Saccharomyces cerevisiae S288C: one gene and its partner. The gene in region 1 interacts genetically with each later gene. Each region holds a gene or a part of one and is shown on either strand. Other genes may lie near its edges.

Region 1 (6,945 bases):
GAAACTTTTTCTCTTTGAGTGATTAATTGTGACGCATTAAATTGGGCCACTACAGCCTTTAAAACTTCATTAACAATGGAAGGCAACACTCTTTCATCGTAATCCTGACCTAAGGTTCTGTATATGGTGGGCAATTGCACCACATCCGGTCTTGAAAGTACTCTACAGGTGATATTCACCATTTGTAAGTCTTTGGTACCTGTTAAAGAAGCAACATTACGAGGTTTTGCTCTCACATCATAAATAATTGGTGTGTCAAGCCAAGGGAAAATGAAGTGAGTACCTTCATTAAATATCCTAGAGGAAACACCATGTATTCTGGAATAAACAATGGCTCTATGACCACCATCTACATTGAACAGTGCATTATTAATGAACAGTGCACCACCTCCGAGTAAAAGCAAACCTCCCAAGCCTGCAAATGCCCCCCTTGGTGAAGGCACTTGACCTCTGCCTCCGGTTTGCTGTACCTTGGACAATTGTTTTTGGAACGCCTTTGCGTACCTTTGGAACTCACCAGGTGATCTATTCATCAGCACTAAATTATATTCTTTTCTAGCAGCCGCTTGCTTTTATTTCGTGAGCTACTAAAATACAACCTCCCCTGTAAAACTCTTCTGATGTCCTTTATGGTTTATGAATTGCCCTTTTTTGCTATTATTTCCCTTAGATGCCAAAATGAGCGATACAAGAAAAGTTTGCCACTCTATGTCGTTGATAGTGATTATGCAACACAATTACATGCAAGCTATTAAAATATCGACTAAACGGATACGGCCACATCGCAGTATTACTCATAGCAATAGAGGAAGTAGAAAGTATTTAAATGGGGCCACTCAAATTGCACACTGCTTTATGTAATCTGATTTCATTTCTATACAAAGAATATCTCTCTTACCCGGCTGTCAAGTATGATCGAAGGGCCCTTCATAAAAGGGTTCTTTAAAGAACGATCAGCTGAAGCTGTGATAATAAATGCTACATAAATGCATGCCCTTAAAACTGTATAACCATGTCTAATTATCCTTTGCATCAAGCCTGCATGGAAAATGAGTTTTTCAAGGTACAAGAGCTGCTACACTCCAAACCTTCCTTGTTGCTACAGAAGGACCAGGATGGCAGAATCCCTTTACACTGGTCAGTTTCTTTCCAAGCACATGAAATTACCAGTTTTTTGCTTTCTAAAATGGAAAATGTTAACTTAGATGATTATCCAGATGATTCTGGATGGACACCTTTCCATATTGCTTGTTCAGTGGGGAATTTGGAGGTGGTAAAGTCTCTTTACGACAGACCTCTAAAGCCTGATCTAAATAAGATAACCAATCAAGGAGTTACATGCTTGCACTTGGCAGTTGGTAAGAAATGGTTTGAAGTATCCCAATTTTTAATTGAAAATGGTGCGTCCGTAAGAATTAAAGATAAATTTAATCAAATTCCATTGCATAGAGCTGCGTCGGTGGGTTCTTTGAAATTAATTGAACTATTATGCGGTTTGGGCAAAAGCGCTGTAAATTGGCAGGATAAGCAGGGTTGGACCCCACTATTTCATGCTTTGGCTGAAGGGCACGGTGACGCAGCTGTATTGTTGGTGGAAAAGTATGGTGCAGAATATGATCTTGTAGATAATAAAGGCGCTAAGGCAGAAGATGTTGCCCTTAATGAACAGGTTAAAAAGTTTTTCCTAAATAATGTATAAGATTTCAAAACTACATATTACAGAACTTTACATATCAATATTATTCTCAAAAAGCAACTCACAAGCGTAGTAGATCCCGCTGTAACCTCCATCAGCTGGTATTTGGTCATTTTCCCCGACCGATGCAATCAACAGTAGTCCGTTTTGTTTGATGATCCTAGCCAACGACGGGCATATCTTCAGTACTTCATATGGAAGCGTTACACCTAACAAATTATTGTTCATAGCAAATTGAACCATTGTATGTATGTTTATTAGTTCCGTGTTTAAATACGACATTTTTTGAGGATTTACGGCCAGTTCCTTTAAACAATTAGGAGTATCACCTACAAATTTGCCTGTGGTTGAATCTCTGAGTAGATTTTTCATTTGCAACAAAACCGGAAAATTGGGTTGTTTCCAGTTAAGGATCGAGCAAGCTTCCCAATTGCATGAACTGAAAACTATTTGGCGCATACTCCCACTTCCGCTGTGACGCAAAAAACGTTCATGCTCGAAAATGATTAGTAAAAGCTTATCAATGAATTGATTGATATTTATAAATGGCGATATTTTGATGGGAATTGTGTCAATTTCCTTATCTGTAGGAAAATATACACGAATTACCAGCTGGGCTGACCCGGGAATAACTTCTAGTAGGCTTCTGAGAGGCACCACTCTCGAAGATAAGTATTGTTTCAATGTTACTTCATCGAAGCTTCCATCAATTTTACCGAAGTCATAATCCACTACCTTTTCCAATTGTTCTTTCGTTAAATCATTTAACAGAATCTTCGTGCCTTTGAATTCAACGTATGGTTTTGGCGCAGCCACTATGGTTTCATCATTCAGAGCGCAAACTAATACACTAATAAAACTGCCATTCAACGATGAAGAAGTAACAAAATTACCGTCTTTACTAGAGGTCATTAAATCACTTCCTGTAGATTTCCAATACGGCTCATAATTTATGATTTTCAGTGGATTTCCCGGATAAGGAAAAATAATTTGGTAATCCAAAGTGAGAGATCCAATATTATTTAGTCTTGTGTCGAATAAGGGTAAATTCATGGTTGCAATACTATTTATTGCCACCTTCTTGAAAAGGAATGGCATTGCCGTTGTTTTGGCAATTATCCTTGTGCCAAATGAAGGAAATATCTCGAAATCCATTGAAAAATCGTCGATTGAATCTACTTGGAAAATTATCTCTCCATCATCATGATCTTCACTAATTTCATCATCATCTTCTTCATCATTTGTTTCACTGATATCCTTACAAAAGTTATTAATTTCGCCAGATCTAACAGGTAAAATAACATTTCGCGGTATTATTTCAGGTAAGTTTGAGGATAAAGTAATTCTGCCTGGTGATGATGACATAATAATGCCGTTATCCTGAGTCAACTTGATAGACTCGAGACCTGGCCTCAACTTTAATTTGATGAAAATTTTTTTCTCCAAAAAATTATGACCATATTTCCTTAGTGGAATGATTGGCGGTGGTAAAGCAAAATCCGGAATGCTATCTTGAATGTCTAAATCAAATTTGTCATCATTTGGGGTTAAATCTATTGTATTAAGGCGTTGCGTACTAGACTGCGAATTTATTTCATTCAGGGGTGCAGATGGCAAATTTAATGGTCTTTGTAAAAGTGCATTCAAAACATCAACGTGGCTCTCCCATAAGGCGTAAAAAAGTGGCGAATGGCCGTTGTCATCTTCAATATCCAGACGTGCATTATGTTTCAATAGTTCAGTAATAACTTCAGAATGACCTGAACGAACAGCGTAAAAAATGGGCGTCCATTTATTAAACCCATCAATTTCGTTGGGATCCGCCCCATAACGTATCAATAGTTGAATTAATTGTGGATCGCCGCCAATTTTTGCCACTATATGAAGAGTGCATAAACCTGTTGAGTTCTTTTTGAAAAGCGGTTGACACAAGTGTTGTGAACTTTTGTTCTTGGCATTATCAGCATTTTGCTTACTCCGAATTTCTAAAAGTAACTTGGCGGCGTCATGATTATTAAATTTACAAGCAACATTTAAAGGATCGAACTGGACTTTAGTAGAGCTGATTACATTCTTACTATAATCCAGAATTGGCTTTTCAATGGGTGATGCGTTCGCACCACCAATAGTCAGCAGATCCCTAACAACATCTATGTGGTTGTTAGTGATAGCCAAAACCAAGGGTGTCTTAGAATCACTATCAATGGGATCAACGTCCTCTAAAAGATTGGTGATTAGCAACGAGTGAACAAATTCCAGTTTTCCTAGCTCTGCAGCATAATGTAGCGGCACCCGCGAATGTATATCTTGGGCATTCAGTAGTTTTTGTACTGTTTCTTTAGATAACTTTGATGTTGTTAAAGCCTCATCTAGAATAAATAAGCGTGATTTTTCTGGACAACTTGCAGCCTCGTGAAATACGTTTTTTCGTGAAAATACTTGATCATCTTCGTCACAATATGACAGATCAATATGATCCTGATTGCTTTTATAGAAAATATGCAGAGAGTTATCGTCCAAAGGACTAGCCACCAGTAATAAAAACAGCGTCGTTAAGCACTCCTTCAACAAAGAAAAGACATTTTTATGAAAAGATTCTGAGGAATTTTGTAGCAGATATGTGAATATCTTGGTTTCTCTGAAGTTTCTTAGTAGTGCATGCTTTCTTTGAACATCTTTCACCGTGGCTATATTCAAAATTTCCTTATACCAGTTTTCGATTTCCATCTCCATGTCCAAGGAGGAGGAAGATGCTTGAAAAAGATGTTCAAGTTGGTTTTCCGAAATCTTTGATGTTGTTAATTCATAATTATTGTGTAATATGTTATTATTATTGTTGTTGTTGTTGTTGTTATTATTATTGTTATTATTATTATTGTGTTTATTATTGTTGCTGGTATTATTGTCGTCATCATCGTCATTAGTAAACGTACTGGATTGTATGTCTGCCCTTCTATTGTTGTTGTCAATATCATTCAGCTCTAAGAGAATATGTAAAGTTTCATCGTTTAATTTTAGTGGCCCATCTCTGGTAAAAATTGGTTGAATGGAAACAACAGTAGCAAGGTAAAAATCTTTATCGTGAGATTGAGATCTCTTGTCCCATTTCTTCAGAGCTTTTGAAAATCCCGTTTTATTTAACTCAACATACTGCTCCAAATTTCTAAGATCCTTTTGAAACTTTTTGAAAGCCGCATATAAGTTTTTAAATGAGGTAGCTTGGTTTGAGTTTAGCTTACCATTTATCTTATAATCTTTATATTTTGAGTGTAATATATTGAATTTTATTCTTAAATCGGACTCTCTCGCCAAATAATAACCATTTACTTTTTCCAGCTCCCTCTCTAGTTTAAAAAAAAAGGCAGCTTTATTTTCTTGCAGTCTCTGATGTATAATTTTTTCGTCGATGTCATCTAATGTTAAATGCAAATCTAAATCTGAACTAGCCTTTAGCGTGGGAATGGCCAATTGTTTGATAAGTTTCTTTAGAGCCTTATAATCAATAAAATGGCTGTTGTACTCCGCCAGTTCCAACTGCCTGGCTTCCAAATACTTGCCGAATTTCATTGCACGTTTATCTATCTATGTTGCCTCCAAAGGGTTATTCTCTCAAAAAGCTCAATCACTGTGGAACCGAAAAATAATGTTATGAAGATTTTTTGAGCAGTATGTCTTGTCAAAAGCTCAACTAGTGCAGCTGATGTTGCTTAAAAAAATAAAAACCAAATTTTTCTACTTTGCTCTTGTACGTTGCACAAAGAAGATTATGTAACAAACTTGAAGGGACTCTCAAAAACTTGCTATAAATTGTACAAAAGCCTCAATATCACCTAGTAGTGGTTCTATACCTGTCTCGAGCCATCGCCAAATAGTTGATAAATTTGATTAATTTCTGCCCTTATTCGCACGTGCCATAACACCTGTACCTCTCACGCTAAAGACCTTTATAATCAAGGAAACTTGTTGCTGCAGAGGAAATAGGAGGTAATGAATTGTGATAAGGCACATCACATCAATTTTTCTTGCATTCTTGCATAGAAAGATAGGCTGATGCAATTAGCGCGTTTCAATCGCGTGCCAAAGACGTATATACTAAGCAATATAACCGAATTGATTAAGTAGTTGGTTAATTGTATATTTTGTGATAAAGATGGTTAACTGACTTAGGCGGACATAATAGTAGAAAATCTATATAATTTTTCCCATGCAGTTGTTATTACAAAATGCAATTCTTGAGATAGCACAAGCAAGAATAATAGGGCACGGTACGTTCATTCACGTAGCGTTAGCTAGTGCTGCCACAAGGTAAACGTACGATTATATTCATTTTTGAAACGGAAGTTCTTTGTAACCCTCATGCTCGTTTGATAGTCACTTAACTACAAGATATTCTCGTTCAGTGATTGCTTGCTTATAAATCAGGAAACTTCATTTTTATTCCTTACATTTTCGAAAAGCCCGCAAGGTTTTCTTCGCCACGCTCAAGCATTCATCGTTGAAAAGCAAAACTGTGCACACTGTACCTTAGGCGACTCTTCTCCGAACAAGCTCATGGCTCATTTTTAAAATCACAAGCTTCGTATAATTGCCAAGACATAATCTAATTGAGAAGGTCAGACGGCAAAACAAATGACCGAAATCTTCGTTTATTGGTTCGCCTGCGTTGCCAACTGGTACATTTTCCCAGAGTACCAGCAAAGGAAGGCATCCTTGATGCCTACTCTGATACTGTGGAGGATTTAAACTGAAAATGATAGTCTGCGCGGCAAATCTTTCTATTTCTACTAAAGTTGGATCCTCCGGCCGATATAACGTATTCTTTTTATCCAATAATGTCAATTTTAAATGCTCGATTACTAATCGTTACTAAAATAGCGGACGCGCTTATGCGTCTTCGACGGATAGTTTTCAGATCATCCCTCTCAGAAAGCAATGCAGGAACCGCCTGTAAAACTATCTTTTGCTGGCACTCACACATTATGGTATTGATGCCACCTGAAAATACGGAAATTAACCATTCCTTGTACGGAGATCTAAGAGCAACTATTATTGAATTGTTGCCGTTAAAGTTTCATTTCAGTTCCGTGTGTGGTCAAGTACAAGACTACTGATGAAATATGTTGTACACACACGGAAATATATATATATATATATATATAACAATATTGTGGGTTGAGGTGGAGACTTGATTTTTCTTATACAGTATATTCTTGTTCATTTTTTACCATTTTCAACAAACCACACAAAGA
Region 2 (7,851 bases), 110 kb from region 1:
GTCAAATGTCTTTATGTGTATAATAAGATAGATGCAGTATCATTAGAAGAGGTGGATAAACTTGCCAGAGAGCCAAACACCGTTGTTATGTCCTGTGAAATGGATTTGGGATTACAAGACGTCGTTGAAGAAATTTGGTACCAGCTGAACTTGAGTCGTGTGTATACAAAGAAGAGAGGTGTTAGACCAGTATTTGATGATCCTCTAGTGGTAAGAAATAATTCCACTATTGGTGACTTATGTCATGGTATCCACAGGGATTTCAAAGATAAGTTCAAATACGCATTGGTTTGGGGTTCTTCTGCCAAACATTCTCCTCAGAAGTGCGGCTTAAACCACAGGATTGATGATGAAGATGTAGTTTCTTTATTCGCGAAATAGTATAAATGAATAGATTTTAAAGAAACATGAAAAAACAAGATCAGCATCGAGAACTGTAGTACGGAGCAGAGATTTTGCATGACTAAACGGACTCATTTTCCTTGTAGTAGAAATAAATGCTGAAAATAGGTTTTTTAGTGAGAACCGGAAGGTGTTACTTTCATGGTATATTCGTATATACTTTTATAATGTAATTTGAAGAGCTCCGTTCATAAAAATTGTCATTCTGGGCTTCAAATGAATAAATAAACCCGAATGACAATGAAATCTCGAAATTATAATAGTGGTACCTAGTGTAGTAAGTATAAAGGAACCTTCTCTGTTGTATCTCAGAATGGGATACCTCAGTATGACAATACATCATCCTAAACGTTCATAAAACACATATGAAACAACCTTACAGCAAAACGAACAGAATGAGCAACATGAAAATAAAACTCTGCCTTCCTTAGCTAACCTACTCTAACGTATAAGTATCTGAACAATTGGTTTAGATCCAAGATTCCGCGCTTCCACCATTTAGTATGATCCATATTTTATATAATATATAGGATAAGTAAGATCCCGTGAATCAAGCTGATAAACCGTTTTGACAACTGGTTACTTCCCTAAGACTGTTTATATTAGGATTGTCAAGAACCTTGACATTACCCCATTGCATGATGCAATAATCTCATATAAATAACAAGCGCAAGTGGTTTAGTGGTAAAATCCAACGTTGCCATCGTTGGGCCCCCGGTTCGATTCCGGGCTTGCGCAATGTTTTTTCCATCCCCAAGTATGGGAACTAAAATAGCTAAAAATAAGTATGAAGTTATATTTTTAAACCTATTTACAGTGTACAAATAAATAATATATCATAAATGACACAGACGTATGTTTTAGGATGCAAAAGTTCAAGCTGCCCTTCCTAATTGAGTGACCCGACCCATCTACCAGAAGCGCCACCAGCTTTTAACCTGCTTATCCTGGACTATTTCCTTTGTTTTCTCCTCCGTTTCAGATCTTAGCTGAGACAGTTCATTTCTGATCCTAGCCAACTCTTCTTTTTGCACCTCCTCCGCCCTCACCTTAGCAAAGTGATCTCTGCTTTGAACGTTATCACCGTTCCTTTCCCAAGGTGATTGAAGGGGGCCCGTCTTCCAAATTGGATCGTCACTTTGAGAAGTTTCCTTAACAATTTTCATCAAAGCCTGCTGCTCCGACTGACGTAGTTTTTTCTCCCTCTCATATTGTAAACGTAATTCTGGGGAAAGCTGGCTGATTAACTGTTGATCTGTTGGCGTTGTGTACTTGAAAAGCAGAAACCCGCTTCCAATAATAGCGCCACCAATTGCATAGACTTTCAACCAACGTACCCACAATGGTCTTTCCATACCCAAATAATGCTTATACTGTCTTTGTTTTGCTATTACTGCCTCTCTAGGAGTTATCGCGCACTGCATGTATATAAAATTTTATCTTGATAAAATACCCCGGGGGATGAGCAAAAAAAGGGATATGGGGAATGAAAAGTGAGATAAACTAGCAATAATCTATTCTAATAAGTAGAACATTCACAAAGACTACTATGGTGTAATTCTGAAAGGATTTACGAGAGCACAAATACTATTATGTATAATTCTGACTGCAGAATCCGGCAAGCTTGATTTAATATCACTTAAGGAAGTAATATCGTTAATTGATAACCGAATATGAATCTCAATGCATATTTTGAAGCATATCAAGCCATTTTTCCTTTTCTGTTGGAGGCATTTTTAAGGAAAGAACAAAAAGTATAAAACACTTCGGTTAATAATAAATGATATGTGAATTTTTTTGAAAATATGTAAAATAAATAAGTAATAAATAAAAATAAGATGTGTTTATCGTAATGTACTATACAAGCCTTCCAAGCCGACTTCTGTAATAAAAAAAAAAGGTGCAGCTTAATGTTTGACGGTTCCTATCCTCTCTCCCTTATAAGCTGTAGTTAACCAATCAACTCACCAAACAAAAATGGGGTGAATACTCTAATAGCTGTGATCAAAATCATAATACCTTCCAATAAAGCCATTGGTAATCCCAAGAAACCACGTTCTTCCATGTTCAAGTAAATGGTGTAAAAAGCGACAGCGAAGAAAACCCTGGTCAATTGCAAAGGCTTTGGCAAGACACCAGACAGAAATTCAACGGGTTTGTTGACACAATCGCCACCTCTTTGGAAATATTTGAAACAACCTTTTTGTAATGCCTTCAAGTTATCGCTGTCAGCAGCGAACAAAGAATACAAAGCCACTGACAAAACGTTAATAACGGAATCGTAACTCTTTCTTTCGAAATGGTAGTCTAGTAATTCATCCAAAACCTTTTCACGGTCGCTGAAGTCTAGGTCACCTATTTTCTTAATCAACAAGACAACATCATGCAAACCGACAGTCATACCACCACCAGTCAATGGATGTCTCATATTTAGAGCGTCACCGATAACACACATACCAGTGACGTCGTTTTGTCTAGCTGGCAAGTAGGAGTTTGGCATAGCTCTAAATTTACCTTGGCTGACGGCTTCATCAAATGAAGGACGTAGACTCTTTGGAATGAAAGGTTGGACATCCTTAATCATCCAACTCTTGATATCAGCTGGGACCTTTGGAGAGTTGTAAGCACAAAGGATTCTTGTTTCTTCTGGACTGATTTGGTAAACCAAGATTGGCATATGATCACTACCAAGAATAACGTGACCGTGCATAGGAGCAGGATTCTTAGCATTGAACAAAGACATACCGACAAACGAAGAACCGACAGTTGGAACATGGTCTGGGTGCAATTCCTTTCTGAAACGTGAAAAGATACCGTCACAGATAAATGTCAAGTGGGCTTTGAATTCCACCTTGCCACGGCCATCAATGTCAACCTTGGCACCAACAACCTCATTCTTTTCATCCTTCAATATCTCAATACAGTTACCTTGCACTCTAGTAACATTTGGCTCTTGAGCAGTAATGTTTCTCAAGTTGTTCAAGAATCTACCATGAACAAAAGCAACACCCCTTTCTCTTTCATCATCTTCGTAATCCTTGATGTGAATAGTGCTGTCTTCCAAGACCTTGTCATTACCATCTTTGACCAAGTCCTTCAATTTTTCAACTTTAGGGATATCGGCCTTGTAAGGGTATGGAATATCAACTTGTTCGCCGTTGAAAAAGACGGTATAACCGGTAACAGGATATGCTTCGATGTTGTTGATAGATTGAATCATACCCAGACTTCTCAATGCTCTAACACCACCTGGTTGCATCAATTCACCAACAATTCTATCAGGCATAGCCCAGTCACGTTCTACGATAAGAACTTTCTTACCCTTTCTTGCTAGACCAGTAGCAACACATGGACCGATAACACCAGCACCGATGACAATCGCATCGTAGGTAATTGTGTTGTCGGCATTAATCAATTCAGGTGCAACGTTAACAGCAGACATGACCCTTTTCTCGATATGTTTTTCTGTGATTTTTTTTTTTCAATTGTTCGAAATAACCTGTATTGTTCAATACTGGACAATTGTTCTGATATATATATATATATATAATTTTCAATGAAAAAAAAAAAAAAAAGAAAGAAAATTAGAAGCTAGAAAGAAATAAGGAAAAGGAAAAGCAAACAACAATAGGAAAAAAAAGCATAGAAACATATAATAGATTAAATACAAAAGATTTATTATACATGCGAGGTAAGACTATTGTCTAAGACTTATACCCGACCGAGAGCAGCCACGGCATGCATCGACTACGAGCGTATTGTGTTATATCAGCTCTGTCCGATACACTGCTTGCCTTTTGTACGAGCTCGGCCGAGCTATACGAAGGCCCGCTACGGCAGTATCGCATTAAAGCGACGCAAATTCGCCGATGGTTTGGTAGAAGAGCTTGCAGAACGATTCCCATTCGCCACGATCCCGTAGAGTGCCCTGAACCACGCTCATGTCCATGTTCATACCATTCACGTTTGTGGAGCAAACGTTTAGGCCGAACGCAAATCTCAAGGCGCCTGCAGACTGCGAGAAGATTAAATCCCGAACGTAGTACGGCTTGGTCGTATCTTGCGAGACAAGTCCTGTATTACTGATGATTGCACCGCCTCTTTGCTGGTGCAAATAAGAGTTGGCAAGAAGGCTGTCTATATTCTTGTTTTCAACGATAAAATCAAGTTGTAGGACCCCCAGACCAATCAAGTGGTCACCGTTGTCGTACGATTCTAAAAAGCGGTCATAGTAGTATTCGACAAGACTCCAAAACTTGTCATTGTCACCTTCGGGAATGTCGAATGAGGAGATTAGATAGGCGTAATGCGAACCTCCAACGTTGGAGCCGTATTTATAAGAATCTCTTAACTCTTCATCGTTTGGTAAAAACCTTCTTGCGTTGCTTGGAATAGCCACATCGAACCCATACTCGAGAAGAGATTTTGTGAACAGCTTATCCAGTCTATACAGGGCTACAAGAAAGCACGCTTGAATGAAGGGTGTTAGGGTGCACCCATCGTGAACATTTTTCTTGATCTGAGCTCTGATTTGTTCTACTTGCTTAGTACTGAAATGCAACAAGTAATTGTAACTAGCATTAGCATTACTAGAGGGGCTATATCTAGCTGTAAGTGTAGATTCGCTGGAGGTTTTAAAATTACAATGTTCATAAATGAAGGTTGTTAAAAAGAATTTGGGTAATGAAGTCAATGCTGGCTTGTAGTCAATACGATCCGTAATCGGTTTTGGCAATTTAGAAATTTCAGTGTAGTCTCGATCATAGTCAATGATGACTTGATCTTCGATGAACTCTTCATCATAATCAAACCCTTTTTCTTCGATTTTACAAAAGAGTAGAGCTAAATCTTTGAAAAAATTCGATCCACTGACACCGTCGGAGCCGCAGTGGTTAGTGACATAAACGAAGTTTTTCCACGTTTCAAACCCATCAGTATCCTTACCTGGTAAACAAATCAATCTCCAATTAGGCCTCTTCGGATTACCCAGAGGTATGATTACAGGGCTAATCAATTCGATTAACCTATTGGTGACTTTGAAATCATCCTTTTTGAACTGTTCTGAGATTTTCTCCATGACTTCTCTGTATTCTGGTTGATTATTCATAATCAAGTCATCGAATTCAAGATGAGAAATCACCTTTATGAAATCATGCTGTGGAAAAGGTTTACTAAGGTACTCTTCGCTAGAGTAGTACGCTTCATGATGAGGATAATGCTTAGGAATGATTGTATGCGCAAGAGTTGAGTATTTTTGAAGTAATACTTTCAAGACAAGCATTAGTTGTCTCTTATTAACACCTTTATTCAATTCCGCGTAAACAGTAAAATTCGAGTACATTTTCTGCCTACTCAAAACAGCAAAGTAGTTTTCCAAGTGGCCCATACGTCTTGCATGGCCACGGTCTATCAACTCTTGAGTGATATGTGGTTCGTATCCTTCTATATCTTCCATAATTAACCTGGACAATTTTTATTGCTGAAGTTATTATTCGTTTGAAAGTCTCAGTACTGTTTGTACGCATTAGGAATGACATTGCTGTTACTGCAGAATTGCCCTACACATTTGTTGTTGTCTTTTAAGTAACAATTTGCTCTATTTTCACAGACCTCGAAGAAACGTAAATCTTGACAACAAATGTTTACGATCGTTTAGGTGTATGAAAAAATATAGAATACCAAAATAGGAAACTCGTTGAATTCGTTTACTCATTATCCCGCAATATTTATCGGTGGCCTACAGAGTTCAATGTAGCCTGAGATTGTGGCGATTGAAATACTGATTACTTAAAATTTGCTAAAGCCTGTTCTATCTGAAGAAAAAAAAAAAAAATGGATGAGCCTTCCAGTTCATTGAAATTCTTCAGTTCTTATTTTTTTTTCAAAAAGAAAAGTTTCAGTACCCTGTTCCAAAAAAAATGAAAAAAATGAAAATCCAGTATCCTTCCCATAAAAATTAAAAGTTCCATTATTTATGGGTAAGTAAGTACCACTGATTATATACCATATTTATAAAGTGCATGAATTTATTACTATATATTGCTTTTTCTGACGTGCTTCCTTCACTATTTATGGCCACTGGTACTACTATTATGGTGGCCATGGTGGCTAGTTTGATGGTAATTTCTACTATGGCCATGACTGTGCATTGCCGACCCGTTCGCTGGCATGCCAGATGGACCTGATCCCATCATTCCTTGGAAGGGTATCCCTCCTGGATACCCGAAGGCACCCATAGGAGCGCCAGGGCCAGCTGCCATAAAACCTGCAGGGACATGGGGCGAAATATTTCCTCCTCCTTCTTCAGCCCCATTGCTACCCATAACTGGCATCATTTGAGGCATAGATGGGTGATAAAACATTGGCTGAGGTTGAAATGGCATGTACATACCCATTGACCCAGCAGCAAAGCCATTCATCATCGGATTTGGTGATGCCGATGGACCTCCCATCGGAAAGCCCATCATCCCGCCCATATTCATGCCCATAGCTGGATTCATACCAGGCACAGCATTGCCCATGGAGTTCAATTGGCGTTGTTGGAACCTAGTTTGAGCTTCTTGAATCGCCGTATCCTCATCTGGGAAAAATGTCTTATACGATTCTTCAATTGTATTTAACCAGGTTGGCGCAGTAAAATAAGGTTTTTCAATAAAGAAGGGTTCCATATTCTCCGAGGCATCATCGCCTTTCTTCTTTTCATCGTGGGCCTCCTTGGATTTGATGAACATATTAAAACTTTTTCCGAACAACACTCTCTTGGCGTCATTAGTATGAGGGTTCTTGGCACCAAAAAAGGAACCATGATTACGTCTTCTCAATGAAGTACTAGATCTCGTGGTATGGCCGGTAGATGATTGGCCTTGAGATATGTTGCTGCCACTTCTTCTAGATTCTGATTTCCCTGCAGAAATCTGTGTAGTAGGAGAAACAGTCTTGGCCGAAGGGGTTTTGCTGATCGGTTTTGGAGGCAACGAAGAATTAGATTTTAATGTAGAGCTTGACCTTTTTAAGACTTCTAGCATGTCTTTTGGAATATCATATGGAACTTTAAATTTCTCGGAAAATTTCTTCAACTCTTCAATCTGGGCTTCTTTGCTACTCAAACTTTTCTTATTCTTAGAAGTCTTTTGTGGGGGTTTTCCCTCTGGCGCACCTGCTGCTGCGGGAGTAGAGGTATCCGTGGAAACGGCATTTTCATTTTTGTTAGAATTACTCGAAGAGATAATTGCTGGATCCATATGATGAGGTTGCTGTCTTAAAGTAGGTGGGACATACCTATTCCCCTTGTTGGAATTAGGCTTAGAATTGCTTTTTAAAGCGGCCAACAACTCATCTCCTCTTCTATCAACACCAGAGTATAAGTCTTCTTCATCTAGACCAGAATCATCAATTATGATACCTCTGTCCTCTGCAATATGAATATTACCGGAAGTTCCTTGCGATTCA

Evidence for each region.
Region 2: of PHO81 (region 1) and ATF2, extra expression of one rescues a mutant of the other (dosage rescue), as found in Saccharomyces cerevisiae (one study listed by BioGRID).

The regions. Positions count from the first base shown.
Region 1 is NC_001139.9:952,948-959,892, forward strand, and holds PHO81 (Pho81p), read right to left. Parts: upstream 5,264-6,945; coding exon 1,727-5,263; downstream 1-1,726. Other genes in the region: prohibitin subunit PHB2, read right to left, coding at 1-533; NAS6 (Nas6p), read left to right, coding at 1,013-1,699. UniProt on the Saccharomyces cerevisiae protein: Inhibits the kinase activity of the cyclin-CDKs PHO80-PHO85 and PCL7-PHO85 under low-phosphate conditions.
Region 2 is NC_001139.9:844,580-852,430, forward strand, and holds ATF2 (alcohol O-acetyltransferase), read right to left. Parts: upstream 5,858-7,851; coding exon 4,250-5,857; downstream 1-4,249. Other genes in the region: RBG2 (Rbg2p), read left to right, coding at 1-381; CBP4 (Cbp4p), read right to left, coding at 1,314-1,826; YGR174W-A (uncharacterized protein), read left to right, coding at 2,076-2,162; ERG1 (squalene monooxygenase), read right to left, coding at 2,354-3,844; PBP1 (Pbp1p), read right to left, coding at 6,468-7,851. UniProt on the Saccharomyces cerevisiae protein: Can use acetyl-CoA to synthesize acetate esters from various alcohols, producing ethyl acetate, isoamyl acetate, isobutyl acetate, butyl acetate, hexyl acetate, heptyl acetate and octyl acetate.